3 linked regions of the Lepisosteus oculatus genome follow. The protein of the gene in region 2 interacts with the protein of the main gene of each other region in a pairwise test. Links are inferred from orthologs where the notes say so. Each region holds a gene or a part of one and is shown on either strand. Other genes may lie near its edges.

Region 1 (7,627 bases), on a different chromosome or scaffold from region 2:
GTCTCTCCAGGAACAGCCTCCCTCTCCCAGATGGACAGTTGCCTTGGCTGATGAGAGGGGCTCCCTCACAGGCAGGCTGGACACAGAAGCAGTGACTTGGTTTTCTTCAAAGGCTCGCCCTTAGTTTTAAACACTTGGCTTCAAAACAATTACATCTGCAGTGTTGTGTCATCGACAGAGAAAAGGTCCCCTGGAAACAAATGTCTATATAATGTTTTAAGTTTTGTTCCTCATGTCATCGTTTGTAGCCAAAATATTTCTGTGGCACTCATGGAAGTTGCTTACTGGGCTTTTCCTCAAAGCTGACGACATGTCAGCTGCGCTCCAAGATACAGTGTTCCTGTTGCTAACGCAGCTGTTACTCTGGATAGGTATGGGGAAGAGGGCATTGTTTGAATGCTGTCTCTAGCGGCGGACTGGGTGACGAATGTTGTGCGAAACTGACAGGTGACGTCCCTTGGCAGTGTTAGTGGCAGAGGATGCTGTATCTTGAGTTGTGGATAAGTGTTTAAATTAACATTTCGCCATAAGTCCTCAGTCTTTTTTTCATCTGCAGTGTGGGACTAGTATTGTTTCGGTCATTACTGCCAGGGGCCCGCAGTGTAGACTGGTGGATCTGCATGTGCTCCTTGTTTCTGCCCCACTGTGTCTGTAGCACTGAAGCTCCTTCCTCATGGCATCTTCCTGCTCCTGTCTGGTTCAATTCCACAAATCTGTCTCATAGAAGCAGAGATACTGTTTTAAGAGCTTCAGCCACATGTAAAAATGACGACTATAAAGGATTTTGAACATTAACAGATGGGTTGTTAATAAGACTGAGTTTGTGTTGTTTAAAACTGGGGGTAACCCCCCTCTCCTCTTACCCACTGCTTCCCCTCCAAGCTGGGCAGGGCCTGCAACCAGTGCAACATCCTGGCATGAGGTGCCTGTCTGGCAGCCTGGTGTGAAGAAGCATAGCAGCGTATTTTAAAAGGACTCTTCGCAAACATTCCTGCCACCTCTGTCCTCCTTCACCACCTGTAGACCACTGCAGCAAGTTGTGACCTGCCACTCTGTCAGGCTCCCTGTAGTCTGTAGCTTGTGAGCAGGCCCCACCCCTGGGTCTCGCCATACACAGTGGCCCCTCGCTGGAGCGCGCCGAGCTGGTGTGTCAGCGGTGTCCGGAGGATCCTTCCTCACCATCTGTTCCATTGAATCGCCCCTCGGAGTCGTTCAAGTCAGTCTGAGCCACTGTCCCTGTAACCCCGGTGGGTTTGTGTTCTTGCTAATCCTTTGAAAGGGTCCCAGGATTGCATCTGGGATTTGAAAAGAGGGTTGAAAAAGGAAATAAGCTGGCGATTTTAATTCACGATTTAAACCCTGCCACAAAAAGATAAATGACACTGGACTCAGTCTGTAGCCCTGGGGTCACCCTCATTTCCTCCCAGAATATTGACAGTGATAGCTCTGTGTGAAAGGGCTGGGGGAGAGGGTTAATTGTTTGAGAATAGCAAATGATATGGGAATCTTGATAAAATCAGCCATGTGAACAGCGAAGGAAATAGGATCCCACTTGATAAACAGTAAAGGGGGCTGCATTGTCAGACTACAGAGGGTAATCCTGATGGAGATTCCAGTCTGGACAGTCTGGAGAGCTGGAAGACTGTGTCACACATTTGAGTTAAGTGTTGTGACTTGAATGACCTGTTTTACACATATTGTAAGACTTCTACCTAATGGGTGACTAGATATCCCTGCAGCAGTGGGTGAAAAACTGCGTACAGGTCCACAGTGCACAATGCATGAGCTTTTCAGCATGAAAGGAGGTGAGAGGGTTTTTCAACTGCCCATATCTATCTATATATATATATGCATACAATATTACATATATATGTAATATTCTAGATTTTGGCTTTTTCCTTTTGGGACTGGATAAGATGTATTCACACCTGGTTTTGTTTTGCTTAGCCTACTTTCCTTTAAGGCCTTTGTGCTGACTGATGACGAGTTTCTGAGTACTGGTGAAAGCCAACACAGAACTTGGCAAATGTGCAGTTCAAACCCATCAGGATTGCAGTCGGCCTTTGTTAAGGAGTCTTTAAGGATTTCCAAAGAGGGGGGTTGACCTGCACATTTGCTCAGCGTCCTCCATTCGAAAATAAATGTCCTGTGTCCAAGTGATGGAGTCCACAGGGATGGAAGGTTAACTGAAAAATGCGGTGCTGAAACTTCTCACTGCGTTTCTTTGGGAATATGAAAACCTACCTAATTTATAAAGTCTGAAGTAAGTCAAGGTTTTTTAAACCGGTCCTGGTCACATTTTCCTGTCTGTGCTGGCCCAGGGGACGTGAAGGGGGCAAGTGTTCAGCTTCCTCTAGCTCTCACACGTACAAACCCTGCGCCTCCTTCCTTTTTTTCTGCTCTTGTACTGTATATTTAACCCTGTGTGGAATTCTACTGGCTTGTACTGTATCAGTAATACCCTCTTGCAATTCTAGAATCTTACCTTAAAAATGTAAAAAAGGAAAAACTAAATATTATATTAAAAGTACTTCTTTTTAAAATAAAGTCACGAGAGAAAAAGAATCTGCCGCATATAACTTTACCTTTTGTACAAATGCATCTTGGAATTTCCTCAGTCTGCTTTTAAAACTACTTTAAATAAAAATTGTTTTTAGGGTACTGAGTTTGTGCAGTGTCCTCTTTGATGCGCACTTGGACAGGGGCAGAAGACTGATCACAGTTATGGTCATGTCCTCCAGCAGCTCAAACACAGTTGCTCATGCTTGCACACACAGAGCTGAGATACACACTTGTTCAGTGACGCACGCCACGTGCATAAAGCTCAGATACACGCTTGTTCAGGGATGCACACTGCGTGTACAGAGCCGAGATACACGCTTGTTCAGGGATGCACACTACGTATACAGAGCCGAGATACACGCTTGTTCAGGGATGCACATTGCGTGTACAGAGCTCAGATACACGCTTGTACAGGGCGGCTGTTCCTTCACAGGCAATCACGCATCTGCGCAAATCATCCAAAGGTGTTTTTGCTTTAAAAAAATTTAAGCAAACAGTATGTCCAATTAAAATCAAGAGAACTGTAATCATTGTTTTTTTTTCTAATTATCCAAAAGGTTTGCTTTATTAACAAATTTGTGTATTTTGTCTTTAATAGAAGGAAAACGTCAGCCAATGACTCTGCACAGAGAACAAAGTGTTGCAATTTGGCTCTAGAATGGTCAGACACGTTGCCAAACCAAACTGGTATAGAATTCCCTCAGTAATAACTCCATAACCCTGAATGAGAATGGCCCAGGAAACATTGAGACATTTTTCAGTTGACACAGGAAATACAATCTCTGGTGCACTTCCATTGTGATGCTCAAAACATATGTATCCCATTTGAGGATGTTAGCAATAGTACTGCTAGAATATTGAAAGACACCACATGTTGAAGACATTCAATCATTGCAGTGATTTCTAATTCCCTCACTGCTGGTGCAGAACAGCTGCTGGGTGTCGCCAAGGTGGGGATTCACTTGAGTGGCGAGTTAAGTGAGTCCACTAAATATGTGTAAAAATTAAATCTTCTGGGGGTTTGGGTTCCAGGAACAGGTTTTAGTTATTTTCAGTTTGGAAACCACATCAAACATAAAAACAACGAAGTGCCATTCGGGGATCTATAACAAAGTTCTCCTTTAATTCACAGTCTACTATTATCATTCTTACAAGATGTAATCCTGTAGAACTCCACTCTTCAAACAAAACAGCTCCCTACACACACCACGAACCTTTGTGCTTCGCATATCCCCCCTCTTAAGAACCGCCCCTGTTGCTGCATTAAATACCAAACCTTAATTAAATAACTTGCTTCTTAAATGAACACTACAAATCCCAGTCCTACACTTGTAAAGTGCTTTGAGACACTGTGGGATGAAAATGCATTACAGATTTACATTGAACATGAGATGAATAATGGTATTAAGATCCCAACTCTAAAAGGTCACATCCGTTCAGGAGCCTGAAATTTACAGGAAGGACCGTGAACAGTGCAGAATAGTGACTGCTGTCTTCGTCAACAGGTTTAACTAGCTCTACATTCTCTGCGTGCACTTTGTTCACTTCCAGGTTACTGCAGTACAAGCACTGGGTGCGCTTTATTTTTTTAGCCTGCCAGGCCAACTTTCCTCAGTCATACAGACCCGCATCAAGCCCTGCGCGCTGCGACATCGGCCTTCCTGTACAAGAAGACGGCTTCACCTCTAACCACTCAGAGGGCTCGAAAAAGCTGTCACGTAGAAGCAGAGCCAATCAATAACGAGAGGCGGACTTTCCTTTTCTTGGCCTATGGTGTCCGCGGAACTCTTAAAGGGAAATGTCAGATCCAATAGGAAAGCGGCGCTGTGGACGCCCCGCCTGAGAAAAATGTTGATTGATAAGGCTCTTACCCAATCATATGTTTTATAGGAATGGACCCAAAGTTTTTGGACCAATCAGCTGCAGCAGTCCGCCTACCAAGCTCCGCCCCGGTAGATGGCCATTTTGTTTTGGACGTAGAGCGAGACGGTTTTTCCAACATTTCTAAAAACATGTTTGTTTATTCATAACTTTAACCCTTGGCGTTTCGGAACAATCTTTCAGAAGGTATGATTTCTGTTCCTTTGACGAGATTTTTCATTCTAATCGGCTCTCCTTTTCGAGCAGCGAGTTAAAATAACGCTGTGTTTGGAGACCCCGGAGGTGCTGTTTACGCAGGTAGACGTTGGTCTCGTTTATAACTGACAAATCCCGTTAAAATGTTTTTTTTTAAACCGAAACCGCCGTTTTCCTCATGTCAACAAGCGCGACAGAATTGGTTAACGCTGTATTTCTGAATCGCAGCGAAAGAAATGATTCCGCTCTCTTCTAATGTCGGTAGTTCAGTGTTGTTCAGCGGTGTCAGTGTGTTGCAGCGCCATTGAAAGCGCCGATACTGTGGTCAGCACCTGTGTGCCGGGGCTCTGGACGCGTACACTTCACCTCCGGGGATCGATGGGATGTAGCTTCACCGACCGATTGACCGACTGTTTCTTCAGTAGCGTCTCTGCTTCTCATGGGCTGCCGGTTAGCTGCTGGGACCCAGGCGGCCCGGAGAGCTGCGCGGCCTCGGTTGTCCCCTCCTGTCGGTTACATGTCGTATAAACGAGCACGGCGTGGTCACGCCTCTTGAGCTCGGATCTGAAAGACTTGGCGACGGGGGTGAGCTGGGTTGATTAGCCTGCAGGAGACGCGTGTGACCCGAGCCTCTAGCTCCCGGTGACAGAGGCGGACTCGTGTGTCCGGGTCTTCTGCAGGGCGTGGTGCTGGTCCAAATGACTCCTCTCTCTCCCCCTCAGGCCAGCGAACCTGGTGCGGGGTGCCGAGCTGTCTGTGTGCCAGGTGGCCGGAGCGGGATGGACTACGAGAGGCGGTAAGATGATGAGGGTAACAGCTGCAAACACACCTGGAGGGACGCAGCGCAGGATTGGAAGGAAGTTCTGCCTGCACAGCCAGGGGCCCGGCTGTCTGCTCGTGTTATTAATGCCAGTGAGCAGTTAGAGAACTAACTGTGCTTCTTACTAGATTAGTCTTCGCCAAGGTCCTTAAGCAGAAGACTGATTGCATTATACAGCACATAGAAGCCTGGGCTGGTGGTTAAAATAAAGAGTTTGCTCTCGTTATCGTCACGTCTGTAGCCAGGTCACTGTGATATCGCGTGCTGAGCTGGTGTCTGTGCGAAGAAGTCTTCTCTTCTGACTTGGAGACCAGCTGAACTGAAACCCGCCGGAGCGGCTCCCGTGGGCTCGGACCGGTCTCCGCCGCGCGGCCGCGCTCTCACCTGCTGCCTCTCCTGTGCCCGCAGGGGCGGGCGGGGGGACCGCCTGGGCCGCTACGGCAGCGACCTCCAGGACCACGACTACCGGGACATGGACTACCGGGCCTACGGGCGGGACGAGCCCGCGGGCCTGGGCTTCGAGCCGCTGGAGCAGGAGGAGCCCCCCTTCCCCCGCGAGGACAGGGGGTTCCGCCGGGCCGAGGACTTCCAGCGCTTCCGCAGGGAGGAGCGCGCCCACGAGTGCGAGCTGCTCGGCAGCGAGTACGAGCCCTTCGAGCCCCAGGAGCGGCCCAGGGAGTACGAGCCTCGCAGGAGGGGCTTCCGGCCCTACGGCCGGCCGGGGGGCTCCGCAGCGGAGTACGGCACCTCGGAGCTGGAGGAGGAGAGCTACAGCGGACCCCCTGCGCAGGAGGAGTATGGCGATCTGCACCCCGAGGACCCCGAGTTTCAGGGCCCGGACGACCAGCAGGTGAGGTCTAGGTCCAGCGTTAACGCGGCACGGGCAGGTGACCAGGTCACCCTAGACGTTCAGCTCTTCCGCAGACTGCTGCAGCTGTTCTCGACGTGCGGCACGGGCTTCAAATGTAAGCTTAGCGACTGAAGTGCGAATGAATTCATTGTGAGCTTGTCGTGTGTAAATCTGTACCTGGCAGGAGTTCCCAGAGGCTGCCGTCTCCGGCCTGGCGGGGGGCCGGGGATCCGAGGGGTACCACGCCCGTGATGCTCTGGAGGAGTCGGCGGGCTTCCCTCCTGACCCGGACTTCCGGGACCAGGACTACCGCGCCGACTCGGGCGAGCAGAAAGCCAGCAACATCATCATGCTGAGGATGCTGCCTCCTGTCGCCACTGTCAACGAGGTAAGCAGCCCCGCGCTGTAGGACGTCTCTCCCCAGCAGCGCCGTCAGCAGGCAGTGTCTGGGGATGCAGATGTTGATTAAGTACCACAGAGGATCTGATTCTCCCTTTTTTCTTTTTCTTGTCTCTTGTTCTTTTCTCGTTCGTTTTTTAATTAGACACTGTAGTGTCCACCGCGAGGTGTATGTGATCTCTTTTTGGTCTCCGATTTGTTTCCATCTCCTCCCCTCTGGGGCTGGGATTTAAATACGAGGATTTAATTCTTTACAGTTTGATGTTAATAATGCTGTCCGTGTCTGGGGTCAGGATCTGCCTTCATCCCTCTGCCTCCCCTCTGTTGTTGCAGATCCGCTCCCACCTGCAGGAGCAGGGCATCCAGCCCAGGGAGGTCCGGCTCATGAGGAACAAGGCATCAGGTGAGCCTGCACTCCACAGGGTCTCCCCTCCTCCCCCCGCCCTCTGCTTCCCCTCCTCCATTCTTTGTGCTGCTTTCCCCGGGAGGCTGGGCTGCCTCTGTCTGTACACCAAGCCACACGGGATCCGTCCCCAAGACGGGCCTGGTTCACACCTCCCCACACACCCTCAGACAGCAGAGCACACAATCGCCCCCCAGCAAGGGCATAGGAGCTCTCCTCCCAGCAGGAGAGACCCCATCGTAAGTATGCCCGAGCACCTCGGTGTCTGTGTGGTCGCGGTGTTGCTGCAGTGTGTATCTCGCCCTGGTCTACAGAAGAAAGACCTTCCTCTCCACCGTCTCTGGGGGAGCCTGAGAAGTCAGTGATAGTTTCTATTGCATGTAGGTACAGAAGGCGGGGACTAAAAGAAGGACCAATTTCTTTAAACCATTCCATTGAGATGCTTTAGCATTAGGAAACTCATCAGAATCAGCATAGTTTCGAAGCCTGATCTGCTCGTATCTTAAGTGGCTTTGCA
Region 2 (8,133 bases):
CGTAGAGCTCCTTGGGCAGGATGACGTAACTCTCTCCCGACCCGGCGTCCTTGTCCTTCTGGAACTCCCGCGTGGCCTTCATCTTCTCCAGCTGTCGTTCTTGGCGCCGGCATTTCTGCTGCACGGTTTTGAGCTTCTTGCGCAGCTTGTCCACCTGCTCCTCCAGCTGCTGGATCCTCTTCTTCTGCTGCACGGTGTCCTCCACTGTGTAGTTGTGGTCGCAGGATATGGACATGCTGGGAAGCAGGGCTGGGTGCACAACCATCTGCACCACGTTCTGCAGCTGGGGCAGCCCGGGTTCCTGAGCCGGCAGTGGCGAAGGTGGTGGTGGTGACTGTTCAGAGTCAGTGAGGTGCAGCTCAGGGGGAAGAGTCATTTCTGGTGGGGTTTGCTCATCCAAGGCCTCATCCTACAGGATTGCATGGGGAAAAAAAAAAGCGTTCAGTGAGCATGAATGTACAGTACTTCTCTCTCTTTCAGATGGAGTCAAATGTGGGATGATATATCATCCTCCAACGGAGATAGCATCAAACAACGGAGATATTTCCAGGTACTGCTTCTCATGAACATGAGAACACTTCAGTCTTGGAGTTCAAAGCTCTCTTTTTCTTTTCTTGCCATCAGAAAGTTCGATCTATTCCAGCAAAGGCCTGGCTTTTACAAATGGTTGCTTAAAAATGATACCCGACAGATTTTACAGGCTGATGTACACTACAGAGCCTTGCAAAAGAATTCAGACTCTTCCTGTGGTGCCGAGTGTGAAAGCGTACCAGCACTACGCAAGTCGTAAAAATAGATATACACAAGTGAGCACAAACTGATATTGCCTGCCAACAAGGTGCAATACAAAAATACAAAAGGTTACATTTCACAGGTAATTCATTAGTCCAGATATTGTAGTCAGCACGTTAAGGGCCTATAAAGGACCTCAAGGTATTCAGTGTCTGAATACATAACTTTTTCCTTTCATATCAATTACTTCTTTCTTTTTGTTTTTGTTGCTTTGAATGTGTGGAGGCTGTGTACATAAAGATTAATTGCCACTTCAAAGTATCATGACTTGCAAGCTTTATAACAACAATAAGTGAGAACTGTACAAGGGTTTGAATACTTTTGCAAGGCCCTGTACCTCTTCCTGTCACATATGTCACATATATGAATATGAGCATCCTGTGACAATGACTGCACACGGAGGACACCAAATTCCAGAGGATGCTCAAAAATAAAGGTAATTGTTTTCTCCTTAAAAATAGAAAGTCAACGATTTTCTTGAATTCTGAGACATAAGAACTTGAAATAACCTTAACCCAAGAGGTTATTCTCAGTCATGAATTAAATAACACTAGCATTCATTTTCCTAGGATGAGACAAGAGTCTGAACATGCCCCTTGGTTCAATTGGTGGGGTCCAATCTCCATATCCTATATTCTAGTCCTAGCTGAATGTTGATCAGTAATCAGTTACTTAAATGTTGTTTTTTCTTACGATTAAAAAACATAGGCTGGAAATACAGCACTATTTCCAGCCGATATACAACATACGTAAGTCAGGATGTTATGAGTTCTTGGAAAGTTTGTAAAACATTTAGCCTGTGAAGACACTGAACAATTGCAAAGCACGGGAGTTGAACTACTGTACACAAGATGAAAAAACAAACAAACAGCAGAGCATGTCACATGTTTGAATTCTTAAGAAAAAGTGACCTTCTCCGCCTGGCTTTACCTTTTCATCGAGCCTGTTGAAACAGAAGAGCGAGGGCACCGCGTTTTCCTTCAGCACGCGGTTGTTGCACTCGCGTTTGAAGCAGTCCTTGGTGAAATGCTGTGAGCAGATATTGCTGTATTTAGTGGGCTTGAAGTTGTTCCGTCTCATCGCGGCGACCCATTTTCCACACACATCAGGCCGCGCAAGAGGAAACCTGATGAATAAGCAAACACGACTTCAAGAGGCATTGCCTTTCTCTTCATATATTCATATGTTGTTTTGTTTTGTTTGGCGTTTGAGAGAACAACACAAGTCCAGCACTCCAGGATTTATAGTAATACCTCCATATTTTTTACATGGTATACCTTTATTTGACTTCTAAGAGAATTTATAACAATAACGTTTATTGTGTTGTTCAGGGCAATCAATCTAAAATAGTTATGAAAAAATCTTTAGTCTTTAAAATGCAAGCCAACCGAAAACTACGGCACTTACACTCTTCTGGCTAGTTCAGATCATATGTAATTTAACGCAGGGCAATACATTAAATTAAGGTGTAACTTAATCGGACCACATCCAAATCCGTGCAGCACTGCTATATCCCCGACTCTCCTAAACATTCAGCTGTCCTAGAGTTTGTCATATCCACATATCCAGACGTCTCCAGCTCCAGAGAGTGTGGAAACTGACTCGTACCCTAAAATCACACATCAAATAATATTTAATACTTCATATGAAGAACAGGGCTGCAAAAATCGCTACCTCGTCGTCTGTCCCATTTTCAAACATGACAGTCAGAACTGGCATTTACAGATAAAAGCGAGGGTAGCCCTGTGTTACATTTCCATTCTTTTTCATAAACACTGCCTTTTTCCCATTTCGGTATACGTTTAATTTAATGTATCCATCTGAAAGGTGGTAATTACACAAACTGCCCTGTCATGTGCTCCTCGGAGGATAACGCACCACGATGTACGAGTAGCAACCCAGAAATGCACGTCATACCCAAATCATTGATTTCGCTTACATAAAGATCGGCGGACACACGCTTTGTATCTCCGATCAACTGATTTTATATTCATTTGCTGGGCTTCGCGGAGAAATCACGGCACGGTTTGCCCCGTAGCCTACTTGAGATTGTCCCCTCAGTATTGCAAACTGTTTGAAAACAGCTGTACTTGCGCCCTGCGGTGACCGACAGGAGTTAACTTACTTGTGAAAAGAAATGTTCTTGTCCTTGTGATATCGGTTTTTACATCCGTACGCCGAACACGACTGAACCATCGCTGCCTTTGAAAATAAAGCGCAGCGCAGGTGCGACTGCAAATGTTACGAATGCCTTTTTTTTATTACTATTTATTCATTAATTCTCCGCAGAAGAGGTCCCTCTCCAGTTTCCAAGATGGCTGCTACGGCTTCGCTGGCTGTCACATGATGCGCATCCGTGCTTCGGGTTGGTCACTCCCGTGGAAGAGTCTCCTCTCTTTTCGGGTGACGCACCTGCAGTGTACAATCACGTAGACAAGGCAAATCTCAACGTGCCGGGGACGAGACGTGTACATTAAAGCAGCTTTTAGCATCTGGTGGACGTGTGACACATTTAACCTGCATAATTGCCCTGTATCCATTATGTTATCGCGACCTCCCTGAAGAACCACTGCCACACATTAGAATGATAGCAGCCGCTTTTTCCAGCGAGGTGACATAGAGGTATTAATTACAACAGAACATACAGTACATACAGAATTTGAAAAGTATTTCTTTTTTTCGGGGTGTGGGGTATCCTTAAAACTTATCTGTTTCCAAAATTGGAAGTGAAGTGAAGCGTTGAGGTATTAGATCTTGAGGAGAAAATCCAGGACGAATGCGTCTTATTGGTAAACATCTTGAGGTCGTGGTTTACTTGGAAGTGAAAAATAAAACGACGTTCTTTTACGGTTCATTGGTTTTATACGCTCACAACAGCTTCCTTATGAGTATATCGAGGTGGCACTGTAGTTTTAAAGCGTATGTCTTCTAAATAAACTCAGTTTACATCATGAAAGACCTAATACTTGACGATAAATTGATCTACAAACTTGAAACTTGGTGTGGCAGGGGCTGCACGGAGAGGCGATTATTTGACTTAACACCCCAAAGTGCATTTTAAAGGCACTTGTATATAATTTATCATAATTGTAGCTCTGAAATCTGAATTGTTGAAAAAATATTTTCCTTCTGAGTTATTTTAAAATAACATTTGAATTCACACAAATGGCCTACAGCTCAAATTTCTTGACAAATCAATTTCATGTTCTAGACCAGGGATTCACAGTCCTCCTTCTTCGCTTAAATAAGTCCTTAACCTATAGTTGCTTGGTTAGAACATCTGCATGTTTTTCTTTTTTCTTTTGTTCTACTGAAGTCGCTTAAGAAACAAAATACAGTCAAAGGCAACTTCCTACTTTTTTAGGAACTGAAAACAAAGAGTTCAAATTAAACCTATTATTATGTCTATTAAGGGTTAACAATTACTTAATTGAGCACTTAGGTGGAACAAAAACTAGCACATGTGTTGTGGGTCCCTGGGACTAAGATTGGGAACCACTGCTCTAGAAAATCCCTGTCACCCTGCATTGGATAAAGCACTCAGGAAATGGATGGATGTCCTACAAGGTGCAGAGAGAAAGCAAGATGAGGGCAAAGCAGCACCACGGAGCAATCCCAGCAATCTCAGAAAGCAGGGCCCCAGGTAAACCAGGTGACTTAACCCAGAGTAGGCTGTTGTGCAATAGCTCAAGTACAACACTACCCCCCTCCCCCTCCCACCTTAAAATGTAAACTGCTTTGATGCAACTACTTCTTATATATCATAATTTATATATTCAGTATTTTTAAAAATTTTTACTTTATTTTTACTGATTTGGTTTTACTCCAAATGTACTGTAGTGGACTCCAATTAGCAATATTATGACATCTTATTGATGTAAAACATTTGACATGTTAAGCGTGGTGAGGCTGACTACAGGAGGAATATACTTGAGTTATGGGATGATACAAAATACTTATATACAAACAGGCTTTCTTCAGGATATGTGGTCTTTTTAAGATAGAAATGACATTTTTGAATCCAGTGTCAAGGGTCCAGAATCACATTCCAGGCCTAGCTGTAGTTTGTTCATTTACAGAAAGATGTATGGATACATGCTTGATGTCTCCCATCATTTGATTGGATTTTTAAAATTGATTATATATTTAATATGCATATATATATTTATAGCTACCTGAGAACCTGCAAACAATTCACCTTGAACTTGAACTTTATTGCCATACAGTATGTAACCGGTACTGGTACAATGGAATTCTTACTTACAGAAAGTCTCTCGATTGTAAAACAAGTGTAAAAAACAAGACAAAGTGCAAACAGTGCATCAAGACAATGTACAAACAAACAATAGACAATGTGCAAGTAAACATGTAGACAGTTTGAATGTAAACAATACAGATATGTAAACAATGACTGGAGATGTGCAATAGATAAGAAATCATAAAGAGGTAGATGGTGATGGTGATGGTGTAGGTGTGGTCCGAGGGGGATGGCTAAATGTGGTCGCCAGTCTCACTGCTTGTGGATAGAAGCTATTGAAGAATCTGGTGGTAAGTGTCCGTATGCTCTTATATCTCTTGCCTGAGGGCAGTGGGGTGAAGAGCTCATGCCCGGGGTGGTGACTGTCCTCTGTGATGGCCAGAATTCTACCACGGCAGCGGTCCTCATAGAGCTGTTTAATCTCTGTGAGACCGCAGCCGATGATCTTCTGGGCCATATTGACCATTCTCTGCAGTGCGCGAAGAGGTGTTGCCATACCACACGGTGATCCCGTTGGTGAGGACGCTCTCGATGGTGCAGCGGTAGAAGTTCACCAACATATGTATTGGCATCCCCCATCGCTTGAGGCACCTCAAGAAATAAAGGCGCTGCTGAGCCTTCTTCATGATAGAGTCAGTGTTCACAGTCCAGGTTAGATCTTTAGAGATGTGAATTCCCAAAAACCTAAAGCTGAAACTTAAATGTACTGTACAGTATACCTTATATCTCATAGTGGACTAAACTTCCTTTAATGCTTCAGATTCTTTAAATCTATTCTTATGTCTGTGAAAGAGTTGTGTTGTGTAGCAAGGGTCTAGTTCAGTTATGAAAGCAATGAAATGAACCTCGCTGCTTTCCTCCTGAAGAAGCCGATTCTCAGTGTTTACCTCAGTCGCTCTGTTTTGCGGTGTAAACAGGAACCTCAGGGTGTGCTTTGAACAGGAAACAGGGTGAAGAAATGCTGTCGAGAACTCAAGAAGAAATGTGTGTATAAACACCTGGGAGGAACTCAAACCCCCCAGAAGGCACAGGTCGAGCTCCTTTGTAAGATATTTTGAGTGGGAAAATAAAAGTTAATGTTCCACTGTACTCTGGCAGCAATTTGGATTTTGTGTTTCTTGACCAGCAGACCAGCGCTATACCTAAATGACACAGGTAAATGAACTCAATTTAACTTCTGCATACTGTGAGGTCTTGGGTGAACTAGGCATGTGAATAAGGGAAACTCCAATTTTATTTTTACTCATTGTTCTTCCTCTTTTTCTTATTGATCCTTGGCTTGTGAAGGAGCGCTGTTTATCTTTCACTGAACGCTATAGCACCTGCCTGTCGAAGGCAAAATAGTCAACAAAGAAGAAGTGTGTGAGAAAAAGTGTGTGAGAAGAAGTGTGTGAGCATATCTTCAAGACTAAATAAGTAAAACATAAACTTTGTTTTTTTCAGATCTCTTTAGTATGATTGAAATGGTCTAGGTTTGTTGATATCATTCCCCCTTATGTGGGTTATCAGTCATATGGAAAGTATATGTAGCCACAATACCTTTAGCGCCATCACACTACTGTATTGTGGTCATACAGTATATAGCTGTGATTTTCATTGAAATATATAGTAGGCTGTTGTGGTGCCATTTCAGTGCTATAAATTCGAGAGAATGGGGGTTATTTACATTTTGCAATGTGCAAAGTTGATTGGTAGGTTAATGTACCATCATGTATTAACATATATGATATATAATATATTATTAACATAATATATTTAAGACCATATATATATTGTGTAAAAATACTGGTTGTATATTGTTCAGGATGCATAGCTTAACCTAATAGCATCTATTCATATTTAATTATTGAGAACTGGGTGATAGTCTGACTTTGGATTTGTTTGTAATATGATCTGGAGAACTGAAGGCACCAAACACTTGTCCTGTGAGGACATTAGAAAGGTTAGGTGGCCATCTGGCCATTCCAGCCCATTTAGTACTTAATTGAATCCAAAGATCTCTTTCAGACATTTTGTGTTAGAAACCATAGTACTGGCTTCAACAACAGAGCTGGGCAGCTCTTCCTGTTCTCAGTTTAAGTCTTATTTTCACAGTTTCCACCTGATCCCTCTTGTTCGTGTTTCACTGTGCTTTCTAAAGAAATCTGCTGGTCTGACTTTGGCCAAGGGGTTTCAGGATTTAAATTCTTGTTTCAGCTGCCTTCACGGTCTTCTCTGTTCAAGACTGAAAGGGTTCTGTTCCTTCAGCTCATCAGTGTAGGTGTAGGACATTCACTTAAGCCCAGAATGTATATGGTTATTCTTCTCAGAGCAGCAATATCTTTTAATTACAATTTCTTGCTGAGCAGCCCCTAGGAGCTCAGTCTGTTGCAGGAGTACCTGTGGGGGTAGACAATGTAGGTCTCCCTTGCTAATTCAATCCCAGCATATCCCATGTACTGTACACTTGAGCCCTTATGTGCTGCCAGAATGGATGTGCTTCCCTTGAGCAAATGCAACAGGCTGAATTAAGCTTGTCTGAATTTTAATTTCTGTTTGTATTTGACAATACAATGCACATTCAACTAAGTAAGTCTGCTGATTAAAAAAAATCTGATTAAGATTCATTGTAACACTCTGAAAATCCAACTGTAACTAACATGAAGTTTTAGTCCTGCTTTATAGTGATAATTTCCATCACATTTACGCTGTATTTCTTGACCCTTCTTTCTGTTTTGGTGCTCCAAGGCTGTGGAATAGCCTTCCAGTTCATATTATGTCTCAGTCAGTGTTTTCAAACCCTGCGTTAATTTACTGCATTCATTTCTGATGTAAAATGCTTGAGGTAATGAGTCATGAAGGCATAAACCAATTATCTGCATAAAATAAAGATTATTATTAAACCTTACTGAAGATTGTAGCTTTTGTTGGACTTGCTACAAGACTCAAATTTATTCTTTTGAGCTTTCCATATGAACAATCCAAACTGATGTGTAGGTTTCGTGTCGTTGGTAACAATTAGAATTTTACAATGAAGAAAAAAAGTGCTAGAACTTAACATGAATTACCCTTTTGCCATGACAGATATGCTTATAAAATAAAAA
Region 3 (7,107 bases), on a different chromosome or scaffold from region 2:
GCCCAGCTGCTAAACAGTACTAGAAATCACTTAGCCTACAGACAGGTGGCCATTTCCCCATGTTCCAAGTGAGGGAACCAGGACAGGGTAGCTGGTAATGTGCCAGCTTTTATGGCTATTCATGAACTCCAATAAAAGACATTTTCTCTCAACTGCCTACATAATTACCACCATGACTCTGATAAGGTGCTCTGTCGCCATGTCAGTGATATGCATAGCACTTTAAGAGAAAATAACTCATTTTGACTGAGAAATGGCAAACATACTTTTTTCAGAAAATGTTAGCATCAGGGTGCTGAACGTGACACGTCCATGCTGTGACACCTTATCTTCAGATTCACACAATACATTGTTGATAAGACAGGCATCGTCTTGGATGGTGGTGGCAAGAGCTTGTGATTGGCTATAGCCAGAAGCTCTTAAGCCTCGGTGCATCTCGTCGCCCCATGTCCTGGTGATGTGGGGGCCTGCATGGCCATGTCCTAGCTGTTCTCTGTGCTCCCAAGTTGAGAGAAGTGTTCAGACATGGCAGCCAGAGCACGGTATCGGTGAGAGATGGAGTTCTTCACTTCCTTTGGCAACTCCGCATAGCTGGGAGAGGAAGGCAGAGGGGGTAAGGGATTGCAAAAGGTAGAAGGGGAGAGAAGAGATTTGGAATGGTGTGAGGGAAGGAGAGGAGAAGAGTAAGATAATTAGAGAAGCACTAGAGGAATCACAATTCCGAGGTACTGTAAAGGTTCTGATTTCCACAGCATGAGAAGTCATGTTCTCACGTAATAAAGAGTTGGTTACAGTTTGCTTATCGAGTGATCACCAGTCCATAATGGCCTTGGGAAACACTGTGATCTAGTGTTCTATTAGATTATCAAATGCATGCATTTCACAAACAACTGGAAAAGATTGAGAAAACAATGACACTCACGTCTTATCATACCCATCTGGCTGGAAACATGGGTCCCACCCAAAGTCCCTGGGTCCCCTGGGCTCGACAATGCGCCCCTAAGCACAGAGCAATACAGGTCAGAGTAATACAGGTACCATGTTCCAACTGCACAGCACAAACAAGGTACCTCTGTGTTTCGTCACTGTAAACTCATGTCTGAGAGTCTGAACATATTACAGACCCTCTGAGCATCAGTCCGTGTGAGTAAGTCAGTGTGAACATTCCAGGCATGTGTGCCTCAGGAATCCAGAGGGCCCTGTGTGTAAATTGGAGGGTGTGCTATTTACTCTATGCTGCAGTCCTGACCTCTGTTTTCCCCCTGAAGAGCAACACTGGCTCCTCTTTTCCAGCGCTGTAGGCAAAGGTGCACAGAGCCCAGGCTGACTTGTCCTCAAACCCAGCCAGCAGCTTGTGCAGACCTGAAGGACAGATCAACAGAGAAAGTGGAGGGAGGGTAAAATCATGAGTGAAGCTTTTCATTTAATGATTTCGTACAGCATCTGGGAAGAGACTAGATTAATAGACAGGAGCTCCCTTACTGGTACTTACTGGTGTTGGGGAAAAGGGACGGGGAAAGCGAGACTTACAGAGAGACAATAATACAGACAAGAGAGACGGTCAGTGTTTTACCTTCAGGCTTCAGCTTGTCCAGAAACCACTTTCTGGAAGAACAACATGCAGAGGACACAGTTAACTGTGGATGAAGACACGTGAATATCTTGTTACATAGTTCTTATTCATTTTCAAAGACCTATCATTGATCTTCTTTCATGACATCATCCAGGTGGGGCTGCACATTGGTGTCGATGGAGGGGCTTCCCCATTACCTGTAAAGCGCTTTGAGTGGAGTGTCCAGAAAAGCGCTATATAAACGTAAGCAATTATTATTATTATGCAAAGGAACAAGTAATAGGTTTATTCCATGCTGAAAAAAAGAAGAAAGAAAACACAATGTTTATGCCGTGGGGCCTTCTTCAGGTATGAGAAAGACAAGGCCTGAGGTTGACTGAGGTATGTTTGGGGAGCAGAACAAGGTAGAAACTCGTAAGAAGCAATAAGTAGAAAAACCTTTTCACAGTGGACCTAAATATGCTATTGAATATATGCTTCCACTCTTCAGCAAATTACACCTCTTGGCCACTAGAGGTCAACATTGCACCACCGACAACCTGTCAGTTAGTCCACTATTGCCCTGTCGCAAACACACACACGCCATACTCACATATAAGGTCCCGGCAACCCTCCTAGTGCTCGAAAACATAGACAGGTGTCCTCCACTATCACTGGCCCGTCAATCTGTGAGATTGTGATTAACATAAAGGATCAGTGAACAAGAGTGAAAACCTGAGTGTGTCTGTGCCTCATAAGCCTTTAAAACATCACAGCACAAATGTTACAGACAAGGGGATGTCATTCCGCCAGCCAATCTTGTTTGGTTGCTAGTATGTGTTGTTTAATTTCCTGTGTGAAGGCGTGTTCAGGAATATGGACCTGTCTCTGACTGCCTCACTCAGTAATTTAGAGAAATCAGTGTGCACACAGATCAGGCATGCAAAACAGTGTGATTCATTGCAGGATCTGCAGCCTGCAGGCTCATGTGTAAATTATACTAATAAAGAAGAGAAAATGAATAGAGACATGCAAGATGATTCGAAGACCAAACCTGTCCATCCAATTTTACTCAAAATCAAAAAGCAGCTCGCAAATCCTGAAACATCACAGACTGATACACAGTAGAAGTCTTAGTTCCACCCTCACAGTACACAAACTCCATACTCTGCTGACCTGTCTGGCAGCCTCCTGGCACTTTTGTATGGAGATCTCATCAGGTTCGCCTTGGTACTCCGGCACTGAAAACACACCACAGTAAAAACTAATACAGCTCTCCCTGCAAGCAGCATCAGGACCACTCCCTTCATATTCACTGATGTGCTCTACTGATTGTCTACAGTTACAGCCATACACTGACTGAGCTCTCTCAGTTCACATCAAAAGGTTCTTTCTTGCCATGACGAAACATTTTTATGTCTGGTTGCTAAAACACACAGGGACCAAGTTCGCTTTCTCTGTACTCACAGTCAATCTTCTTGGACATGAGCCTGTAGGGGAACTTGTCTCCCAGTATCTGAATGACCTGTGTAAGACACAGAGATTTAATACAAGAACTCATCCGCAGCCACTGTAATATTTGTGTGCGTCAGCAGTGAAACTGCATGTTGATTGGTGGAGGGCTGAGCGGGAATAACGGTTACTCAGGGTCACAGATCATAGTGAATGTAGGAGCTAACGGGTTCGGAGTTACAGGTGAAATAAAGAGTTTGTTCGAGTGTCACATCGTCGTCCTGGGTTGTTAATTTCTACAGTATACGTGTACGAGAAACAAGACAGGCACCTTCACACATTGCACAGATATGTTCACAACAGTCGATGCGACACTCGGGATAATGATGGGTTTTAAAGTTTCTTCCTCTCCCTAGCTAGTGATGCACCGTGACGTACCAAATACTGTACTTTACGCTCCTGAACGACAACAGTTAGAAAGAGCCATTTTAAAAGAAGTGCTGCTAAAAACGAAGAATAACACAAACCGAATGAAATGGGTCTCACTCGATATTACGTGTTGTGGTTCATTCATACACTAATCTTTAATACGGTGTACTCAAATAACTAACACAACTGGTCAAGCCAAACAGCTTTAACCAATAAAATAATAGCTTGGTCATATTCTTTCTTTCCATGTTCAACTCCTGCACTCATTTTACTGTTTTCTCTCCCTCAGTTCTCACCTCCTCCAGTTTCTTGGCATTACCCGTCACAAACACCACCGACCTCCCAGCCGGCGCCGCCATGCTTCAACTTCCAGCTACCAAGCACGAAGGAACACACAGACATCAACAACATCCGGTGCCGCTGCGTATCAGCCAATCATCTGACAGAATGCGGCAATTGGCCAATCGGAAAGCGAGCTAGGAGGCTACTCGCCGTTAATACGATCCTATCATATGTGTCGTAGCGGATTGTGTTCTACACTGATTATTGTCCGTGTAGGAAACAGTTCTGAGAAACACATGTGGGAAGGTGGTATGCGATATGAACCTGGTGACTTGTAACTGTAGTTATAGATTTTCTATAAGAATCAAGGTGTAGGGTTTAAACAGACGATCGAGTAAATGTTGATTACAGGATGTTGCCTGTGTAGCTAGGTTAGATACATTTTGTAAGTTACTCTCACTGGTAACTAGTCGAGTTTCTCCCACTGGTATCATTTAGGGTGCATTTTACATGGGTGTCGTATTAGTGTTTTAACAGTATTGCAACAACTGTAGGGGTCACTAAAGAGTCCCTAAAAGTAAGATTACCAGAGATTCACAGACACGTCTGTTGAGCCTGGTTTATGGTGAGAGACAGTGTCTTCTCATATTCGCAACGTCTTTTATTTACTTCAACATGGAGTTGTCCACAACTGTAATGTGAAAGGCGTGCTAGCAGAATAGAGCAGTGTAGTGGCGGGACAGGTTATTGGTAAGTTTAGCGCCTGTGTTGCTACAGTATACTGAGTCCTTGACACAAACTCAAACCCTGTCGCTCACGCGGCCCCACGATGAGTCTGTTGCCACGCACCGCGGAGGAGTTCAGCTCAGCGGAGTACTGGGAGCGCTTCTTCCGCCGGCGCGGTGACCGTGCGTTCGAGTGGTATGGTGGATATACTGATCTGTGCGGGGTGTTACACAAGTACATCAAGCCTCGGGATGAGGTAAGTATGTGAAACTACATGACCAGACCGTTCAGTGCTTGTTATCCTTGTTATTCTTAGGATTGAAGTCTCTCCTTCAGTCGCAGACCGCACCACTGTGATAATAATTATAATTGACAATTTCTTGGATTTATTTAGTGCTTTTAGTTTCAAAGGATCCCAGGAAGCTTTACTTATAGGCTGGGAGAGTTGCAGAATACCAGCAACCCCCCCCAGATCAGGTGGAGAAAAGAGAAATTGCTTCTCCGTTTTAGTTAAGGGGGGACTTTCCAAGGTCCAGATTGTACAACTGCAGAGTGAAATTTAGCCAGGACACCAGGGCTAACATCCGTTTCTTTTAAAATGTGCCACAGCATGTGTAATGTCCAAAAAGTCAGGACGTCTCATCTGCACGATGAGATGCATCCTGTAGCAGTGTCTCTGGTCATTGCGGTTTAGAAATTGAGGTCCAGATAGAAGTTTTATCAGCAAATGCACCTGATGGCAATAGAATGATTGTGTAGTTTTGTTCTCGCATTTTTGGTCCTCTAAAACTAGGATAGTTGTTCTTGATCTTGTCACAGCCCAACAAGTTTCCCATAAACATAAAAATGTAATTCAAATATTTGTTTCAAAGATTCCAAGAGCAAGAGGTGCCCTCACCTCAATGCTTTTCCTCATTTTCCTCCACCATTGTTAATAATTCCTTACGCTTATTTAGTGCTTTTCTGGACACTCCCCTCAAGGTGCTCTACTGGTAATGGGGACTGTTCTCCTCTCTCTCTGGAGTGTGTGTTGTTGCTTTGCACTGCCTTCGTCACTGAATATTCCGTTCCGTTCCCTTTCCCAGGTGTTGGTGGTGGGCTGTGGGAACTCGGAGCTGAGTGAGCAGCTGTACGACGTGGGGTACCAGCGGCTGACCAACATCGACATCAGCGAGACGGCCATCGCGGCCATGAGCCAGCGCAACGCCGCCCGCCGCCCCGGGCTGACCTTCCTGCGCGTGGACGCCACGCAGACGCCCTTCGAGAGCCAGCAGTTCCGCGCCGCCCTGGACAAGGGCACGCTGGACGCCATGGCCTCCGAGGAGGGGGGTGCCGCGGAGGGGGGCCTAGCGAAGAGGATGCTGGTGGAGGTGGGGCGCGTGCTGGGCGTCGGGGGGCGCTACGTGTGCGTCTCGCTGGCCCAGGAGCACGTGCTCAAGCTGGCAGTGGAACACTTTGTCGGGGAGGGCTGGGCGGTCAGGGTGCACTGCCTGGACGGGCAGGGCGGCACCTCTGACCCCGAGTCGTCCTCCTGTGCCCTGCCCGTGTTCGTGCTGGTCTGCACCAAGTTCCGACAGCCCCCTCCAGCTCCGCTGCTGGAGCTGTGCCAGGGAGAGGATGGCGCCGCCCAGAGACATACCACGGTCCCCGCCTTGCTGGGGGCGGTCCGGGAATGCCAGGCCTACGCCCTCCTGCGAAGCCGCCTGCGCACGGGCACAGATCCTGCCCACAGCCCCGCCCTGCAGCTGCTCCACGCCCCGTCTGGACGGCCCCGGTACACTCTGCACGTCCTGGACAGTCCTCCTGGCACCAAGGTGCCCCGCGCCAACCACTTTGCCATCTTCATCGGTGAGTGAGACTGGCACTGCTCTGCAGCAGGACAGAACCAGACACACAAGCACAGGAAGGATTTCGCGTTTTCAAGATCTGGAAGTGGTGGTTCTTTTTTTTAGTATAACTTGCAAATCTGGTGTTCCCATCTTCACTCACTAACCCTGAGTGTGCTTTCCTCTAAAAGGTGTACTTGCTGCAGCCATCGTAGTTAGGCGTGCTACAGCCTCTGTAGTGCCTAAGTGCAAGTTTGTGTCATCACTTTCATTAAAACGTTATTTTCCTAGTCATTTTAATAACAGTGGTGTTTCTCATACTAAAGTTTTTTTATTGTATAATTTAGATTAAGTGCCTTGAGAATGCTCTGTATCAATAAAATTGATTGATTGCTAGATAAAGCTTAAGGAAGCCCAAAGGTGTTTCGCTGGTTGTGCACCAGCTATTGGGGAATTCAGGTAACAGTTAAGTAAAAACCCAGCGCAGGTGGGAGTCACCTGGGCTGGGACTGTAAGGTCCAATCTGAATTTTGAATGCTTTTACTAGCTGAGACTTTGGAGCTCATTCTTCTGTAGTGCATTCAAAAAACACAGCGTTGCGCTTGTGCAGGATTAATTTTGACACATCACTTCAGATCCTGTGTTATTCTTTTTCAAGGCGTGATCTAGTTTGAAGTTCCTTAAACCATTTTGTTTGTTTATTTAAAATATATCTGACTTATGTTAATTTCTACATCTTTCCCGTATTGCGCACCTACTGTGGTCGACATAAAAGAAGCTTGCTGGAAAATCAGAATGAGTGCTCTGATTGGCTGGTTGTGCCTGCAGTTCCTCAGGGCC

The links. The genes of interacting proteins can lie anywhere in the genome.
Region 1: the proteins of thap1 (region 2) and rbm10 interact in binary tests that used the Homo sapiens proteins (3 or more experiments, as listed by UniProt). The two-hybrid records come from large-scale screens. The link is inferred for Lepisosteus oculatus from reciprocal best matches to the Homo sapiens genes THAP1 and RBM10.
Region 3: the proteins of thap1 (region 2) and mettl13 interact in binary tests that used the Homo sapiens proteins (3 or more experiments, as listed by UniProt). The two-hybrid records come from large-scale screens. The link is inferred for Lepisosteus oculatus from reciprocal best matches to the Homo sapiens genes THAP1 and METTL13.

The regions. Positions count from the first base shown.
Region 1 is NC_090697.1:77,941,457-77,949,083, reverse strand, and holds the start of rbm10 (RNA-binding protein 10), read left to right. Parts: upstream 1-4,506; 5' UTR 4,507-4,629; intron 4,630-5,360; 5' UTR 5,361-5,417; coding exon 5,418-5,434; intron 5,435-5,699; exon of another isoform or gene 5,700-5,866; coding exon 5,867-6,308; intron 6,309-6,492; coding exon 6,493-6,696; intron 6,697-7,040; coding exon 7,041-7,110; intron 7,111-7,627. UniProt on the Homo sapiens protein: Binds to ssRNA containing the consensus sequence 5'-AGGUAA-3'. May be involved in post-transcriptional processing, most probably in mRNA splicing. Binds to RNA homopolymers, with a preference for poly(G) and poly(U) and little for poly(A).
Region 2 is NC_090698.1:64,312,146-64,320,278, forward strand, and holds the start of thap1 (THAP domain-containing protein 1), read right to left. Parts: upstream 3,173-8,133; 5' UTR 2,989-3,172; coding exon 2,918-2,988; intron 2,884-2,917; exon of another isoform or gene 2,734-2,883; coding exon of another isoform or gene 2,732-2,733; intron 1,919-2,731; coding exon 1,723-1,918; intron 410-1,722; coding exon 1-409. UniProt on the Homo sapiens protein: DNA-binding transcription regulator that regulates endothelial cell proliferation and G1/S cell-cycle progression.
Region 3 is NC_090704.1:31,396,340-31,403,446, forward strand, and holds the start of mettl13 (eEF1A lysine and N-terminal methyltransferase), read left to right. Parts: upstream 1-3,986; 5' UTR 3,987-4,544; coding exon 4,545-4,697; intron 4,698-5,526; coding exon 5,527-6,289; intron 6,290-7,095; coding exon 7,096-7,107. Other genes in the region: itpa (inosine triphosphate pyrophosphatase), read right to left, coding at 483-591, 923-999, 1,250-1,362, 1,574-1,605, 2,166-2,239, 2,729-2,793, 3,020-3,077, 3,730-3,792. UniProt on the Homo sapiens protein: Dual methyltransferase that catalyzes methylation of elongation factor 1-alpha (EEF1A1 and EEF1A2) at two different positions, and is therefore involved in the regulation of mRNA translation.